Drosophila melanogaster: one gene and its partner. The protein of the gene in region 1 purifies or fractionates together with the protein of each later gene. This does not show direct contact. Each region holds a gene or a part of one and is shown on either strand. Other genes may lie near its edges.

The links.
Region 2: the proteins of Cyp4g15 (region 1) and CG42724 purify together in Drosophila melanogaster (affinity purification with mass spectrometry, with the first as the bait; one large-scale study listed by BioGRID). This does not show direct contact.

The regions. Positions count from the first base shown.
Region 1 is NC_004354.4:11,475,505-11,483,064, reverse strand, and holds the start of Cyp4g15 (cytochrome P450 4g15), read right to left. Parts: upstream 6,008-7,560; 5' UTR 5,473-6,007; coding exon 5,274-5,472; intron 4,682-5,273; coding exon 4,484-4,681; intron 4,052-4,483; coding exon 3,869-4,051; intron 1,541-3,868; coding exon 852-1,540; intron 756-851; coding exon 464-755; intron 368-463; coding exon 204-367; 3' UTR 1-203. Other genes in the region: CG43155 (uncharacterized protein), read right to left, coding at 6,991-7,146, 7,208-7,300, 7,363-7,478, 7,534-7,560. UniProt on the Drosophila melanogaster protein: Probably involved in steroid hormones biosynthesis.
Region 2 is NT_033777.3:6,362,267-6,370,232, forward strand, and holds the start of CG42724 (uncharacterized protein), read right to left. Parts: upstream 6,023-7,966; 5' UTR 5,820-6,022; coding exon 5,632-5,819; intron 5,566-5,631; coding exon 4,082-5,565; intron 4,022-4,081; coding exon 3,688-4,021; coding exon of another isoform or gene 3,684-3,687; exon of another isoform or gene 2,993-3,683; intron 2,889-2,992; coding exon 2,738-2,888; coding exon of another isoform or gene 2,609-2,737; exon of another isoform or gene 2,460-2,608; coding exon of another isoform or gene 2,325-2,459; exon of another isoform or gene 965-2,324; coding exon 572-964; intron 498-571; coding exon 133-497; intron 69-132; coding exon 1-68. Other genes in the region: CG10286 (uncharacterized protein), read left to right, coding at 6,751-7,966.

The sequences.
Region 1 (7,560 bases):
AATATTATCAATATTACTGTATAAACCGGTGACTATCACTTGCCAACAAGTGGAGTTATATGTATGGATAAGTGTCCGTTCTGTGTAGCTTATTGTTTGCGGTGTACGGTGTATGGTGTGCTGCCCGCCTGTTCCGCCTGCCCCACCCGCTCCACCTGGTCCACCTGGTTCGCCTAGCTGATGTTCGTCGCGGCCACCGGGGTTCAACTGGTCCGCGGCTGGAGGCGCACGCGGAATCCCTCCTCACGCTTTAGGATGATGTCCGCCTGCAGTTTGAAGTCCGATTCGGTCAGGTCCGAGTAGACACGGTAGTTCCGCAAAATGGTCGACAGTAGGATCTTCAGCTTGAGCATCGCATACTTGCGCCCTAAAAAAATAATTATAATAAATGAAACAAAACATTATTCATATAGACGATCCGAATATTCACATAATTTGCTTCAGTGTTATATCTGCAACTCACCCACACAGCTGCGTGGTCCCGCAGAGAACGGCACAAAGGCGTAGTAGTGGCGATTGGCCTGGCGCTCCGGCAGGAAGTTGTCCGGATCGAAGACGTTGGGATTGGCGTAGACCTTCGGATTGCGATGGAGCAGGACGGTGGCCACCGTCACCGTGGCGCCCCTGGGAATCACGTAGTTGCCCGAGTTCAGCTTGAGATCCTCCTGCAGCTCGCGGGCGATCAATGGAACGGGTGGGTACATGCGCAGCGTCTCCATCAGACACCGCTCCAGATACTTCATCTCCAGTGTGTCCTGCAATCGGAATGCGGACATTTTAAGCGGTTAACGTTCAACATTCAAGAATATAACTAACTAACTATGGTGATGTGTGCGGCATTAGTTACCCACCTGAAATGTGGCCGGTCGCTGGGAGTCGCCAAAAATGGAGTCGAGTTCGGCCAGTACGCGATCCTGGATGTCCTGGTGGATGCCCATCAGCGAGAGAAAGAACGAGGAGCCGGCTGCCGTGGTGTCGTGTCCCTCGAACATGATCGTGTCCACCTGCTCCTTAATTTCCGTGTCCGTAATGAGTGCTCCATTCTGTGCACTTTCGAGCATCAAATCAAGGAAGGCCAGCCGCTTCTTCTCACCAATATCATTGTCCTCCACATCCAGGTCATCCTTGAGACCAGCCGACTGTCCATAGGACAGTCCCGCCACCGGACTGGCCTTCTCCTTATCCTTCTCCCGATCCTTCTCATCGCTGCCAGCTGTTGATGGGGTCTGGTCAACACCACCATTCTGTTCCCGTTCCCGCTCTAAGGCGGCTGCCTTCAGCTCGCACTGGGCAAGGGATCCACGGGTGCCCTGCTCAAAGGCCGCCTTCTTGCTGCGGATCACCTTGGTGGTCAGGCCGTGGATGATGTTCAGCAGGCGACCCTGCTCCTTGTAGTAGCGCGTCAGGGTGAACACGAACTCGTTGCGCAGAAAGATGCTCCGATGGCGGGCGTGAAGGATGTCGCACATCCGCATCACGGCCATCGCATACTCGAATCCCGATTTGTCCTGCGTTTTCTTCGACACACCCATCGCAGTCTCTGGAATTGCCAAAATGTAGCACCCAGAAAGGTGTGTATTTATACAAGTAGGTTTAGATTGTGATTATATTAAATAATAACTAAAAGGAAGTATAAGTATAACCTCAATATCCCATCACATTCGAATCGTACTTTTCCTTTCAGTGCAGAGACTCGTATCTGGATTTGAAGAGCAGATTGCGATCGAGATCGGATGCGAGGAGATCGGATAGAATGAGATGAGTTGGCAAGGGATGGCATGTGGATGTAGATGGGATGGACCCCCAGCACAAATGGGGGGAAGTGGAATGCACTCGCCTGACCCAAGCGCCAATTGAACTTAACAAACAGACAACAGGCGGCGGAGGTAGCCCCCGGATTCCCCGCCAGCTCACCATCCATCCACCGCCTGTCTAATTGTAGATACAATGCATAAATAGATCTATAGATGACAGCATAAACGAGCTTACGGACAAATCCGCTTCGTGTGTACAATCATGTGTGTTTTTGTGCTGTGGGAAAACTGCGAGCGTGGAATTTGGCATTTTTTTTTTTTTTTTTTTTTTTGATAAGTTCTCGATTGCCAATCACAGTGAATCACGGTCTATAACTGGAATTAAACTAAAGGAAAGTGACAGTGCAATCTGAAAACGATTTGAAAGATTCAAGTTGCAAATGAGATAGGTCAGTAAATTTGAATAGGTTCGTGTAAATAGCATATCTAAAAATTAAACTGCTAAATTTGAGTTTTGCTCGTGCGGAAAAGGAATACGAAAATCTGGCTTATGCAATGACACATTTGAGTTTTTCCTGTGGAAACTCGCCCGGATTTTCATTCGCATTTCGCTTGGCATTTGGGTTCGTTTCGTTGAGTTCTTAATTGCTAATTGCCCGTTTGCGTCAGACCCAGACCCCATACCCCAGACTAATAATCGCCGTGAACAACAACCTCAGTCGTTGCATTCAAATTTTCCTTATTAAATGCTTAATGGCAGTGCGACGTGGCTTTAATTGCACTACTGACTGCGAATCCCGCATTCGTTGCGTTGCATTTTCATTCGCTGCATTTCGGTTCGGTTTGGTTCGGTTCGGTTCGCCTCGGTTCCATCACATCACATTACATCGTATCCAATCCAATCCAATCCAATCCAAGGCAATTGAATTCTGCAATCTTGGCTGCATTTCAATTGTGCAGGGCTCGGATTATTATGCAATGGCCTACAAATCAATCCCAAATCGGCCGAGCACTACGAGCTCCACAATGTCATTAACATTGGCCACCAGCCAATTTTGTCTAGGCTCTTGCCGGTTTCACTTTTCACTCCAGGCCCAAAACGTGTCTGGCTTTAAGCGAATTGCCATCTGGGTGCCATTGGTATGATGATAAACAAGACCATTTGGGTGGGCCAAAACCTATAGGTATTACCTTAACCTGCATCTAGAAATATGAGGTTGTTTATTGCTGATAGAACTTGGATCTTTCAGATATCTCGGTGTAATATTCCCATTAAACTGAAACTGAAACTATTGTTAAGCTTCTATAAAGCTTAAATATGGAGGACATACAATATTTGTATATGCCATATGTTTTTGCTATAACTTTCAAATTCCCAAATAAATTTGTCCTACTTTGAGCTACAATAGTTATGTTTTGAATATGCTGTAAATTTACTCTATATAAGATATCGATTATCTTTTTAACTGATCTTCGATTGTTTGTTTTAACTTAGTAAGAACCCCTACTTATGGAATTTTCATAACCAAGCAACATGATCGTTTGGGGTACAAATCCAACCAGTTTGCATCAGTTTGGCATAATTCGGTTAAATCTGGGGGCTGGGATTTGAAATATATATATACATATATATATCTATATATATATATATCTTTATATGCAAAAGCACATGTATGTATATGCTCATTTGCTCCCATTGTGGGGCCACAACAAAAGCGGCAAATTTTTGATTTGCCAGTATATAGGGAAATGGGTCTGCACTCAATTGTGTGTGGCATACAATATAATGTGTCCATATCCACGGCGTTTCTAGCGGGGATTAGGTGGCTTGGGCGCACGCATATAACTGAAATGATGATGATGATGCTGGATTGTATGCTCATGGTATGCTATAGTATCGTATCGTACTGCGTGGTATGATGGTATGTCATGGAATGGTATGGGTATTTCGGATGATCGTTGCGATTGCGAGTGCGTGTGGGTTGACTGTACTTTAGTGTAATCATAGTATGGCTATCTCTATCCCCATATCCGTATATCGCACCTATCTGTATCTGTATATCTGTATATGAATGTATCTGTACATCCATCTATCTGTATATCTGTTCACTTACCCAATAGAATCTCCACGGTTGCCTCGCTCATGTAATCATGGCAATCAAAAGTGCGACCATCCTCCGCACGCAGTTTCCTCACCACATTACGCGAGTTCTCGTTGAACAACTCGATGAAGCTCTTCAAGACATTCAGATGGAATGTGGGTGCAATCAGTTTGCGGTGCGATCGCCATTTTTGACCTGCAACAATAGATGGAGCGGGAATGTAGAACCGATCGTACATACAAGATATTCTTACAAAAAAAAAAAAACCAAAAAAAAATTGGACATTACATTACAAATTTGTTCATGATTATCACTCAAGCTAATAAATAATAGTACTTTTTTCTTACATGTCTGTCTAAATTGAAAATCATCATGTGTAATATTATTTATCATATTATCATTTTGAACTTATTACATTTGAAATTGGTATATCTTCAGTGCAAACGACTGTGCATTTTTTTTCCGTGACTTTTCTGCGACGTTGATTTTATTTATAGCGGCATTGTTGTGCCAACTGTCAGGCTAGCGGATCGCTTAATTAATTTATGATTTCGCAAATTGCATTAGTGGCAAGTGGACACCACCCCTTAAATGTGGGAGGCTTTCCCCCTCAAAACCCCACCTCACCTGTGCTGATCAGCAGTCCGTCGCCCAGCCAGGGCTTGAAGAACTTGTACTCGGATGCCTTGTCGATGTAGACATGGCTGCTCAGCAGCAACTCCACGTCCCGCGGATCGTAGATGAAGACCACCAGCTTGGGCCCGATCCACATCTTGGCTATGTGCTCGAAAGGGGCGCTTTTGCGGATGACTGTTCGGAAAACAGCTGCGGGGATACACGGATTAATTTGGGGGATCAATTCAAAACCACGATTAATTTTTGAAAAGGATAATTAGTGCTCTAGTATGTGTTATATTTTAAAAGTCAGAAATAAGTTCTTTCTTAAAATAAAAAGGAGAAGAATTTTCATTTCACTATTATTCGGAAACTTTATTCCAAGTGACTAAAAACTAATAATCAATGTTTAAAATTTTGGAAAATGCATGATAATTACTTTTAAATCAGAATTAAAGTTTCGTTTGAAGTAGAACTTCAAATAAATGTGTGTACTTTCAGAAGTGTTTTAAAAAGATTTCAAACGAGTATTATATTTTAAGTTTCAAAAATGCTTTTCTTTAAGTTTAAAGTTTGTTCCAAATTGATTTCTCAATAGCAGCAGGATTTCTTTTGAAATGTATTGAAAATTAAATATTTTTATGTGATTTGAATTCAATTCGGAGTTTGCCTGATAATCCGTATTTAAAACTGGTTATCCTCGTTTTTTTTTTTTCACTGGCTGCTTAACCCTTATGCCTGCTAAGGGGCTATGTCGCACCCTTTCCCGCGAAAAAAATGGCACTTAGTCTAGTGGATTTACATGAAGCGGGTCCAATCACATCGAACAGATGACCCACGATGGGCAGTCCCCGTGGTCCCGGCAGTCGTCCGGCCAACCTGTACAGGTGAGCCCGCGATAATCGCCAGTAGATGTACCAAAGCACCAGCGTGGGCAGCAGCAGGAAGTAGAAGACGCTGCTGGGTGAGCCCAGGGCGGCGTCCTTCTTCAGCACCTCCATTGCTTGTCGGGATCCTCTTTCTCTTGCTCTCTCTCTCACACACTCTCCCCCTCTCTCTCACTCTCTCTCTCTCTCTCTCTGTTTCGATCGGTCAACAATGTTCACCAGGTCACAGAAAAAACACCAAAACAAAAAAGAAAACCAATCGATCGGCGCACGCACACTTCCCACACAGTACACACGGATCGATCAGCTATCCATGGGCTGGGTTGGATTGGGTTTTGCGGATCGGATCGGATCGGATCGGATAGGATCGTATCGGATCGGTGGACCGGATGTTACTCGCTGCTCGGCCAGCGCACAACTAAACGGTGACAGCCCCTCGCCGAGGCAACCAGCGCGAAATGATCGCGTATATCAACCCACACACAGGGGATGCGATGCGATGGAATGGGATGGGAACGGAGCGATGCGAAGAGGATCGGACCGGATCGGATGGCGGAGTTACGGACTCGGAATCGGCTGGATATGTGTATAAATTAGATACGTTGGACCCGCACTCGCACTCCTCGCGCCTCTTTTCCAGCGACTAGACAGCGGCGACGGTGCGAACGACTTTTATAGCCAACAATGTGCAGCATATGTGCACTGCGAACAAAAATTGTGCACTCAGCTCGCAAGCAAATGCGACGGCTTGTTAAAAGTTGCGCAATTACTAACTTAAATATTTAACAAAAATATTCTAGAATCCTTTTGTTGTTCAATTCATATGCATATATTTCCATGTGGCATACCCTTCGAATTTTTCATGATCTGAGCACGAATGGTGGCAACTTTTCTCACAGTGCTCGAGTAAATAACTGCGGTATGGAATTGGGGTGGTTCTCTGTAGAATTGGATCATGTGAATCGGAACTCAGGTCTTCTCTAAGCTCATCCCGGTGAAAGTTCCATTCGTCACGAGAATTGAGCTTCAAAACCGAGTGACGAAATTAGCCAAAGCTTTTGAGCAGAAAAACGAATGATCAAAGTGAAAAATCATTTCGATATGTATCTCTTGGGTTAAAAACGCTTGCAGATTGTTGAAGTCTTTTTCTTGGTTTATTTTTAAGATGACATTTATGCATGGTATGGACAAGAGTTACGATTAAGATTACGAATAACCTAAGCTACCTCATACGGTTAGAATTACTCAAAAAAAAAAAGATTTTCTATTACTATAGATATTAAATCACCTGCCGTGCTTTGCATGTGTGTGTGTCTGTGTGTGTGTGTGTGTGTGTGTGTGTGTAAGAGTGACCTCAGTACGTATGAGCAATATTATTGCCTAGACATTTGACTATATAATAGCTATAAGTACGGACACTAACTTATGGAAGTCTGGCAGTGCTACAGTAGCCAGTGTCCACTGTAACATGTGGTTTACGATCGGCAGCCTAACTACAATTGATATTTCGCTTGATATATGTATATATATATTTTTTTTTTGCTTTTCTGCCTGCTCGCCCAAAACTATGCAGCACTTTTTTCATCGATGGAAGCTCAATCTCGCTGTCTGGTTTCTATCCCTCCTTTCCGTCTAAACGGACGACTCGTATATGACGATCTGCAGGACCTTCGGCTTGTTGTTCTGCGCCTCCTTCACCTCCTTCAAAATGGCATTCGTGATGGCTTCCAGGGCCGCAATATCGGGACTGTGCTCATTCTTCTTACTATTCCATTTGGGCATGGACACCTGGTGGTAAACCTTCATTTAGTATCGTATGTTTGTGTTTATTTTGTGAGAATCATCATACCGTAAGCACCTTCTGCAGGGCTGTATAATCGAGGCCCGTGCCGGCTGTTTCGCCCAAGCGACGCAGAGTCTCCGCCATGGGACCAGATAGCTCCTGGAAAATAGTTAAATTTGGTAAATAATACAATAAAAATAGTGTATACTTGTAGAACCCACCTGCAGCTTGGCCCAACTGGTGGCATATTGCCTTCGCACCAGCTCAATGATGGTCGATGTCAGGGCCAGGCCAATAAGAATATACAATGTGCACAGTAGCATGTAGTTGGGTTTCTCTGAAGAGTATGGCAAAATGAAGTAAATACACACTTGGGTGCTCCAACAACCTACTTGGCACCAAATCACCGAATCCGATGG
Region 2 (7,966 bases), on another chromosome or scaffold:
CGTCGAGCATTTCGCGGAATCGCTCCCTCTTCTTCTTCATCAGATTGTCAATGTGCTCGTTGAATTTTCTGCAACGATATTAAATTTATTGAATATAAATAAATAGAATTTTTAACAATGTTAATGCCTTACCGCTCGCGATCCTCGCGATCAAGGCTTTCTATTAGTTCCCAGCGATGATCCTTCCGCAATTGTCGCTTGACCTCCTTCCACGTGAAGTCCGGCGTTCGCACCAGATCTGTCAGCAAAGCGGTAAAGTGACCAATGCACTCCTCGCGCATGTGATGCTCGCGCTCCTTGTCCCGATCCCTCAAATGACCGGCCAGGGTTCGCTGCACCTCCTTCTCTCGTTCCCTTATACTCTGCTCTACCCTTAGCTTCTTCTCGCGTTCCTTCTGCTTTTGCTCAGCCTCGTTCTCCCGTTGGCGAGCCACCTCGCTGTCGTCGCTGCCGGCTCGTTCTTCCCTTTCTGACTCTTCACGATGTTCACCCTCCTCCTATGAAAGGCAAAAAATTAAAATATGCTGATTAGAATACCGATCTAAAACGCTTAAAACGATTATAGACTCACTGGGGTGGTATCTCGTTTCTTGCTTTTCTCCGACTTGCTTTTTTCCTCCTTGTCTTTATCCTTTTCTTTGGATGACTTGTGCTCGCGGTCCTTGTCTTTCGAACGGCTGCGTCCTCGATCCTTCCGACCCTTGTCCTTTTCCTTGTCCTTCTCCTTCCGATCAGATTTAAGTTCGCGATGTCGCTCCCGTTCCCGTTGCTCACGCATCTCCCGCTCCTTTCGCTTCTCCTCCTTCATAATGTGCAGGTAATCCTCGAAGTACTCCTCCCGGTACATGGAGTCCACCATACGGTAGCGTGGATCCGACTCAAACTTCTTTTTGATGTCGTACCACCTGGTGTGGCGCTCGATGTCGTGACGCTCTCGCAGCATATCCAGAAAGTCCTTGCGGATCTAGAGTTTTAAAGTGTTTGTGAAAGTAATATTGACATGACAGCCATGCGGAAGAGAAGAGAAATGCGACAAACAGATCGAATTAGAGGGGTCTCGAATTGTTGCGGCTTCACTTAAAACTCTATGCTTAATTGCCTAACTTAAGACTTAGACTTATTTTTCTTAAGCTATAGAACATAGTTACACGATTTGTGCCTGAAAGAGAGCGGGTTTGGTTAGCGATTTCAGACTTAACTGGAAAAGAACGTTGGATTAATTCAAGTCCTGCTGGCGTAGAGAATTTGGGTCTGTCTCAAGCGACACACAGAAAACAAATTTGGACATCTTAAATCAAGTCGATTTCCTCCATTATCAGATATCCCTAACCTATCTGAGTGGATTACGGGTACAAGTTTTACGAATTTCATGTTTTGGCATCGACAAAAATCATCCAAAACTAATATCAAATTTCCAGCTTTTTTAGTTTCAGAGATCTCGTCGACGGACACGGCCAGATCGAATATTTGTTATGTTATCTTTTGCTACAAACATTTTTTATAGATGCAGAGGAGAAAGCAAAAATTATAACGAACGGACCACCTAACCCATTAATTTCTCTATACAAAAGCAGGCCTTGATGTTCAGACTTCAGCACGGCCGAAGGGTACAATAGTCAATAGATCTACAGTAAAAATATGGTAAATGGTAAGAATATGGGGCAGAGAGCCTTCCAGCGACTTGGGCCGCTGCCTAGACCTGCCAGAGCAAAGATCTGGATATTTTGGCTTTAGATAGCTTTAGAATATCGTTCGTCTTTGGTCTGTGCAGGTGGGGATGGGGCTGAGTTCGGTTCCTTCGGCTTGCCTCGGTCAGGTGACAAACTGCTGAGTGTGTACATTATTTGTAAACAAAACGAAAATAGTGGGTTAATTAAATTAAGTATTATTCATACTGTTTGCTTAGCGCCGCAGACACCTGCACACGAACTGCAGTCGCTCCGGATCTCTGGAACAATCCCTTTCTGCCTGCTTCCTGCTCGGCGACATCCCTCCGAGAGCCCATCGCGAACTTCAAACATCATCAATCATGATCCCAATGCCAATCACATCATCGCAACATCCTCTTCATCACATCACATCGCATAAAACATCCGAGAGGGGCGACGTGGGGCGTAGTTCGGGAAGTGGAAATCACACCAACGATTATCAGGTAATTTTCAGTTTGGCAACCTTTCGATAGTTTTGTTTATATTGGTTTTATAATTGTTTTTTTTTTTTCCAAATTTGTCTCTTATTGCAGAAAAACAAATTTAAATGTTTTTGCTTGTTATGTTTCAAGTAACTCACCACACAGATTGCAAACATGTGCGTGGTCAAGTAGATCAGTGGACGGCGATGGCAGACGGCGGGCGGAATAGACCGTCGAGAGTGTTGTACAGGTGGTTCTCGATGCTGTTGCTCTTGTGTATTTTGGTGTTTTGGGTGGTGCATTTGTGCTGTAACCTGCTAGCTAGTGGCTAAGGTATCGGGTGGCAAACCACCGGAACCCAACACATTGAGGGATAATGCATTCGGTCAGGGTTCGGATTCGGTTTCATTTTCAGTTTGGTTTGTTTCGGTTTCGATTCACACGTTGTTTATGGTTTAAGAGTTAACAGAAAATCAATCACATTATGTAAATACGTTTGGCATACGGGTAAGTTATTAAATATATATATAAAGATATGCATTTATGTTTAAACATCAAGATACGTAAGGTGATGGGGTAAGGGGCTCCAGCATACCCTAGGCCTACCTGCTCTTTCTTCAACAGCTTGTCCTCCTTTTCGCGGCGCCGCACCTCCACGATGTACTCGTTGAAGAGACTCTCTCGTTCGCGAACCTTCTCGATGGCCCGATACCGTTCATCCTTGGCGTTCCTCTGGCTAAACTCCGAGAATGAGGATCTGAAAGAGTTTGGAATTCAAAATATCAACGAGAACGTTTCATGAACAATATACGAATAAATATAGGATTACAATCCTACCCAGTAATAAAACATCATCTCGTTACTCATCTAGTGGGAAAATTATATTTCACTATTTTAGAAATAAAAAAATCAAAGCATTTTTTAAAAGTGGTGGGGTCACTTCTTCTTGAGGTTTCCGGGCGTTGGATCTTCTAAATCTTCTACATCTTCTAGAACATACTTGCGATGCGTTTACGTCTCTAAAATGGGACTCGGATCCCTCCGAATTTGTGTTCCACCTCGAAGGGATTACCGGACAAGAAGATATTGCCGTGCACTAAGTAAACAACCCGGTTTACCGCTTGCTGCTGATCTATAGGTCACAGCACCCTAGTTTTACGCACCCGTTACGCCGTAAATCAAAGATCGACATTACAGGCGATATGGGTACCAAACCACAGCCACCACGAAACTCCCGGTTGGTCGACAACCTTAATGAGTAGCAACTTGGAAAGCAAAATTAAACCTTTAGCTCCTACAAGGTCGGTTAGGGCCCCCTATGCGAAACACCAGACGTAATAAGCCAGGAAAAAGGAAGCCAAAGAAAACCTCTTCACATCCCAACGGCGGCGAAGTCAAGGGCAGCTCGTTTAGTGATCCTGTTCAAGAATAAATATACCTTATAGGGTCGGAAACGGTTACTTCTACTGTTACATACTATTCAACGAATCTAGTATACCCTTTCGGCACTCTTACGTAAAACCTAATAACCATAAATGATAGCCGGCAATACTCACTTTCCGTGCAGCCTGGCTTCTTCCATTAGGCTGCGGAAGTCCTCCCGCTTCTGGCGCATCTTGTTCCGCTTCTCCTTACGCTCCTCCTCGGCCCGATCCTTCACATACTTTTCAAATACCTGTTTGCGTTCCTTCGAAGTCAGCAGAAGATACCGCGGGTCGAACACGATCTTGTGAAGCTCCTTCTCCCAAGTGCTGAAAGCCGATACGTCCTTCTCTCGAAGCATTTCCTTGAATTGGGTGACGCGCATTTCTAGTGGTACTAAGGCCCGCTCCTTGGCCGCCCGCTGCTCAGCCTCTAGGGCGGCATCCTCTGCCCGCTTCGACTTGGAAACTAATGATACGAAAGGTGTGACAGGTATCCTTTATATGATCACAACCGCCCGTAACTTACTCATTCGAACTCGTTTGGTTGGCACCTCTTCCACACTAGACTCAGACTCTGTGCGTATCTTGATAACCTCGTCGTCGTCATCATCATCCGCATCCACCCTCTGCACCTGATCCAGTTGCTGGGCTTGAACTTGCGATTTAGCCTGCTCTTGATTTGCTTCCTCGCCGGACTTCTGTTCGGCTTCAGCCGACTTCTCTTGCGGAGTCTTCAGTTGCTCCGGACGTTCGTTTACCGCTTTGTCAACGTCCTCACGATTCAACAAGTCCTCGGGGCGATCCCAAACCGAAGTCCTAGTTGACGGATTGTAAAAGAAGACGCGGGAATCTCCAGTCCATACGACACACCATGGCGTTCCAGCGATGGGCGTACTTGTCACAGGTCGACTCTTGTCCGTTTGCTTGGCTGATGCCGCAGCCTTCTTCTGCTCCTCCTCCTTTTTTCGCTTCTCCTCCGCCGCCTTTTTAGCCTCTTTCTCCAAAGCAGCTGCCTGTGCAGCCTTAGTGTTTTCCGAATTGGCTTTCATTGCTGCAGCAGCAGCCGCAAAAGCAGCATGCGGATCAAATCCCGGCGGCCCTGATCCTGGTGGCATATGCATCATAGGGTTGGGTAGCAAGTGTGGTGGTAGTCCCGACGGAGCTGTTGCCACAGCGGGCGCAACGCCCGAGTGGGCAGCCATGCGAGCGGCCTCCATGTCCCTCAGCGCCTGCGGTTTCTCCCAGACACTCTCTCCTCGACCGGCGTGGAAATAGTACGGTCTTCCATCGGGAGCACGATGCTCTGACCACTCTGCTGCTCGCGCTATAACCGCCGGATCGATAACACCCGGCTTAATGATTAGCGACTTGGCTGGCTTGTCTTGCATGTGCTGCTGTTGCTGCCAAGGCGGAATGCCCACGCCCCAAGGTGCCCCAGCTGGTGCCGGTCCTCCAGGAAATCCGTAAGTTGGAGGTGGCATACAAAACGGCGGCTGTCCGAACCCAGGAGGCGCCTGCATTCCAGGTGGCTGGAACATTGGTGGTGGCTGTTGCCGTACATTGGGTGGTGGCTGGGAAAGCAGCGGTGCTGCCGCATTGGGTGGTGGCTGGCTCATCAGGTGCGGCGGAGGTTGTGAGGTAAGATGTGACGACACTGGCGGAATCTCGACCGACGTCTCGCCTGCCTTGGCTTCCGTTTTCGCGGCCTGGGCAGGTCGCTTGGCCATCTCCTCCACCTCTGCCTGGGTCATTATCTTGACAGCGGGGCCATCGGGTCGAGACCAAGTGGTTTCCCTAGTTACCGCATGGTAATAATATGAGCGACCGTCCTCCGCCTTGGTTTCCACCCAGATTTCCGGGGGTCCTGTGACTCCATTTGCTCCGGAAGGAGCTTGTTGCTGCGGCTGCTGTGGCTGTTGTTGTTGCTGCAGTTGTTGTTGCTGCAGCGCCTGCTGCTGGGCGGTGTGCTCCCCGATGGGACGACCACTAAACGCATTGAAGGGCTTGCTCCTGTAATTGGGTCAAGGTAAAACAACTTTATAGCATTAAAACACCGGATTTTCCATGACAACGCACCTATGGGCCTCGCTGGGTTTTTCCTTGAGTATAGCAACGCCATAATTTGGGGTCTCCTGGCTGGTACTACCACTACCACTGCCGTTTCCATTGAGACCCGCTTCTGGCGGAGATTCCGTTGCCTCCGTCTTGGTAATCGGCGAACTGGCGCCATCGCTATCCATGCTCTCCTCTAAGCTCGCATCCATGGCACACAAATCTAACTGTACGCAACCTCTTACTTTTCGTTTTAAAAACCCCTGAAAATTTTCTACACTTTTCTGCCGCTAGAGATGTGAATACAATCCAGTTTACTCGACTTATCGAATTATCGAATAAGAAAGGCTATGTGGCAGCACATGAATGTCGTTGCCAGTCCGCTACTAAGGGACGTTATTTTATCACGTTTACAAAGAGTTACATTTTGCTTAGCAATAAATATGAATATATCTGATCGTATTTTCAAAGTCTGCTTTATAATTAGCTCAGCATGACCCGATCGGGGCAAGAGTTCAAATCGAAGTGTTTCGGTACTATCTCTAATCTGTTAACGAGAACACTCGTTGCTAATAACTTCTCTCTCCCTTGCGCATCTAATCGTCACTCGCCTATTATGCCACTCTTTTTAGACCTGGGAGCACTCTCACGCTATTTTGTTACCATCTAGAGGAATCGCTTAACTCAACGATTCAACTACCAAATAATTAAACGGTCAGCAGAAAAAAAAATTTGTTATTATCATACACGTTTATTTTTCCAACAAAAGAAGAGATACATATATGTATAGGAATATAAAGAAATAAATTTGTAAGAAATAAATATTTATATAAATAAATTGGAAATTTCTTAAGACAACGTGCAGCAAAAGACTCATATACTGTTTTGTGCCACATATTTTTTAAATTATGAGGTGGAAATAAAAGACAATACATCCATGTAGCTATTGTAAAAGTTTTTTATGGAATACCTGTGCTCCTTAACGTGACCAGTGATCACTGAATGCGAAATGCATAAAATGAAATCGATAAGGGTAGGCAAATGTTCGATGCTGCCAACTATCTGGAAACATCGATAGCACAAAAAGCCGCCGCCTTTTGTTCCAGCCCCATTAGTAAACACGTGCAGTTGTGTTTTGTTGCAATGGGAAAAGTTCGAAAAGTAAAAACACGGACGCCATCCGGCGTGGACACCTCGGCGGAAATCGATGTGGAATCAGCGGGCGAAGCGGAGGGCTGCGGACCCATCGAGGCGATTTGCGTTCACCTGCAGCAGGCGAACGTGGAGGAGAAGCTGAACGGACTGCACTCATTCGCCGTGCTGGCGCTGCGAAAGGAGAAGGTTCCCGAAATACGCGACAGCGAGTTGGTCCGGATTGCGGCCCCCCTGCTGTGCGATAAGGAGAGCGCCATCCGGAATGCGGCGGCCGGTGCCTTTCGGAATTTGTCGGTGTTTGGCACGGAGGTGTGCGACTTCCTCGTTGAGAACGACATACTGACCGCCCTGCTGACTCTGGTCCGTAGCTATGATCTGACAAAAGGTGGATTCGAAAACGAGCTGCATGCGGACACCTTCCAGCAAGCAATCCATCTGCTCCGAAATCTGTGCGAGAGCTCGCCCACCGCCACAGAAGCACTAAATCAGGCCAACTTTCTTTCCAGCCTGCTGCTGGGCTTCGACTACAGAAAGTTCGGACTCGAAGTTGCCATTTCAGTGGCCCAACTCGTATTGGTGGTGTCTGAGAACAACTCCAGCTCGTGGAACGTCCTGGCCAGCAGTACAATACTACCTGAGCTTCTTGTGGCTCCCACAGAAAGTCACGCGCAGCTTTACCTGAACGCCTTAGCTGCTGGTATCCTATGCAATGTACCCGCATGCGCGGCCGCCCACACTCGGGAAATCCTGAACAGTCTGGACAAACTACTCTCCATAGATCCACAGGCCCAGCTGCAAAGCTGCAAAAGCGAAATTCTAAATGCAAAGTCGAAGAACGAGGCCCCCGTGCTGGAAATCTCCATGGAGACAGAGGATATGACGGAAACACAGAGTGCCAATCAGTCGAAACCTAACCAATGCGATGCCGAGGTAGCACTCAAGAACCTCGAGCACTTGCTAGATGCCCAGCGCCTGGTAGCGGAGATTATAACCAACCTGGGCTCCAGCGATGAACAGAGCAACTGGGATACAGATAGCGAGCATTCAGAGTCTGAGAGCGTGGCCGATTACGACATGGAGGACGAGACAGCTGACAGTGGATCGGGGGGACTGCCCGCCAACTTCTTGGAGACTATCAAACAAAACAAAGTGATCGAGAAACTATGGCAAAAGGCTCAACCACTGCAACCTGCTGTGGAAAATC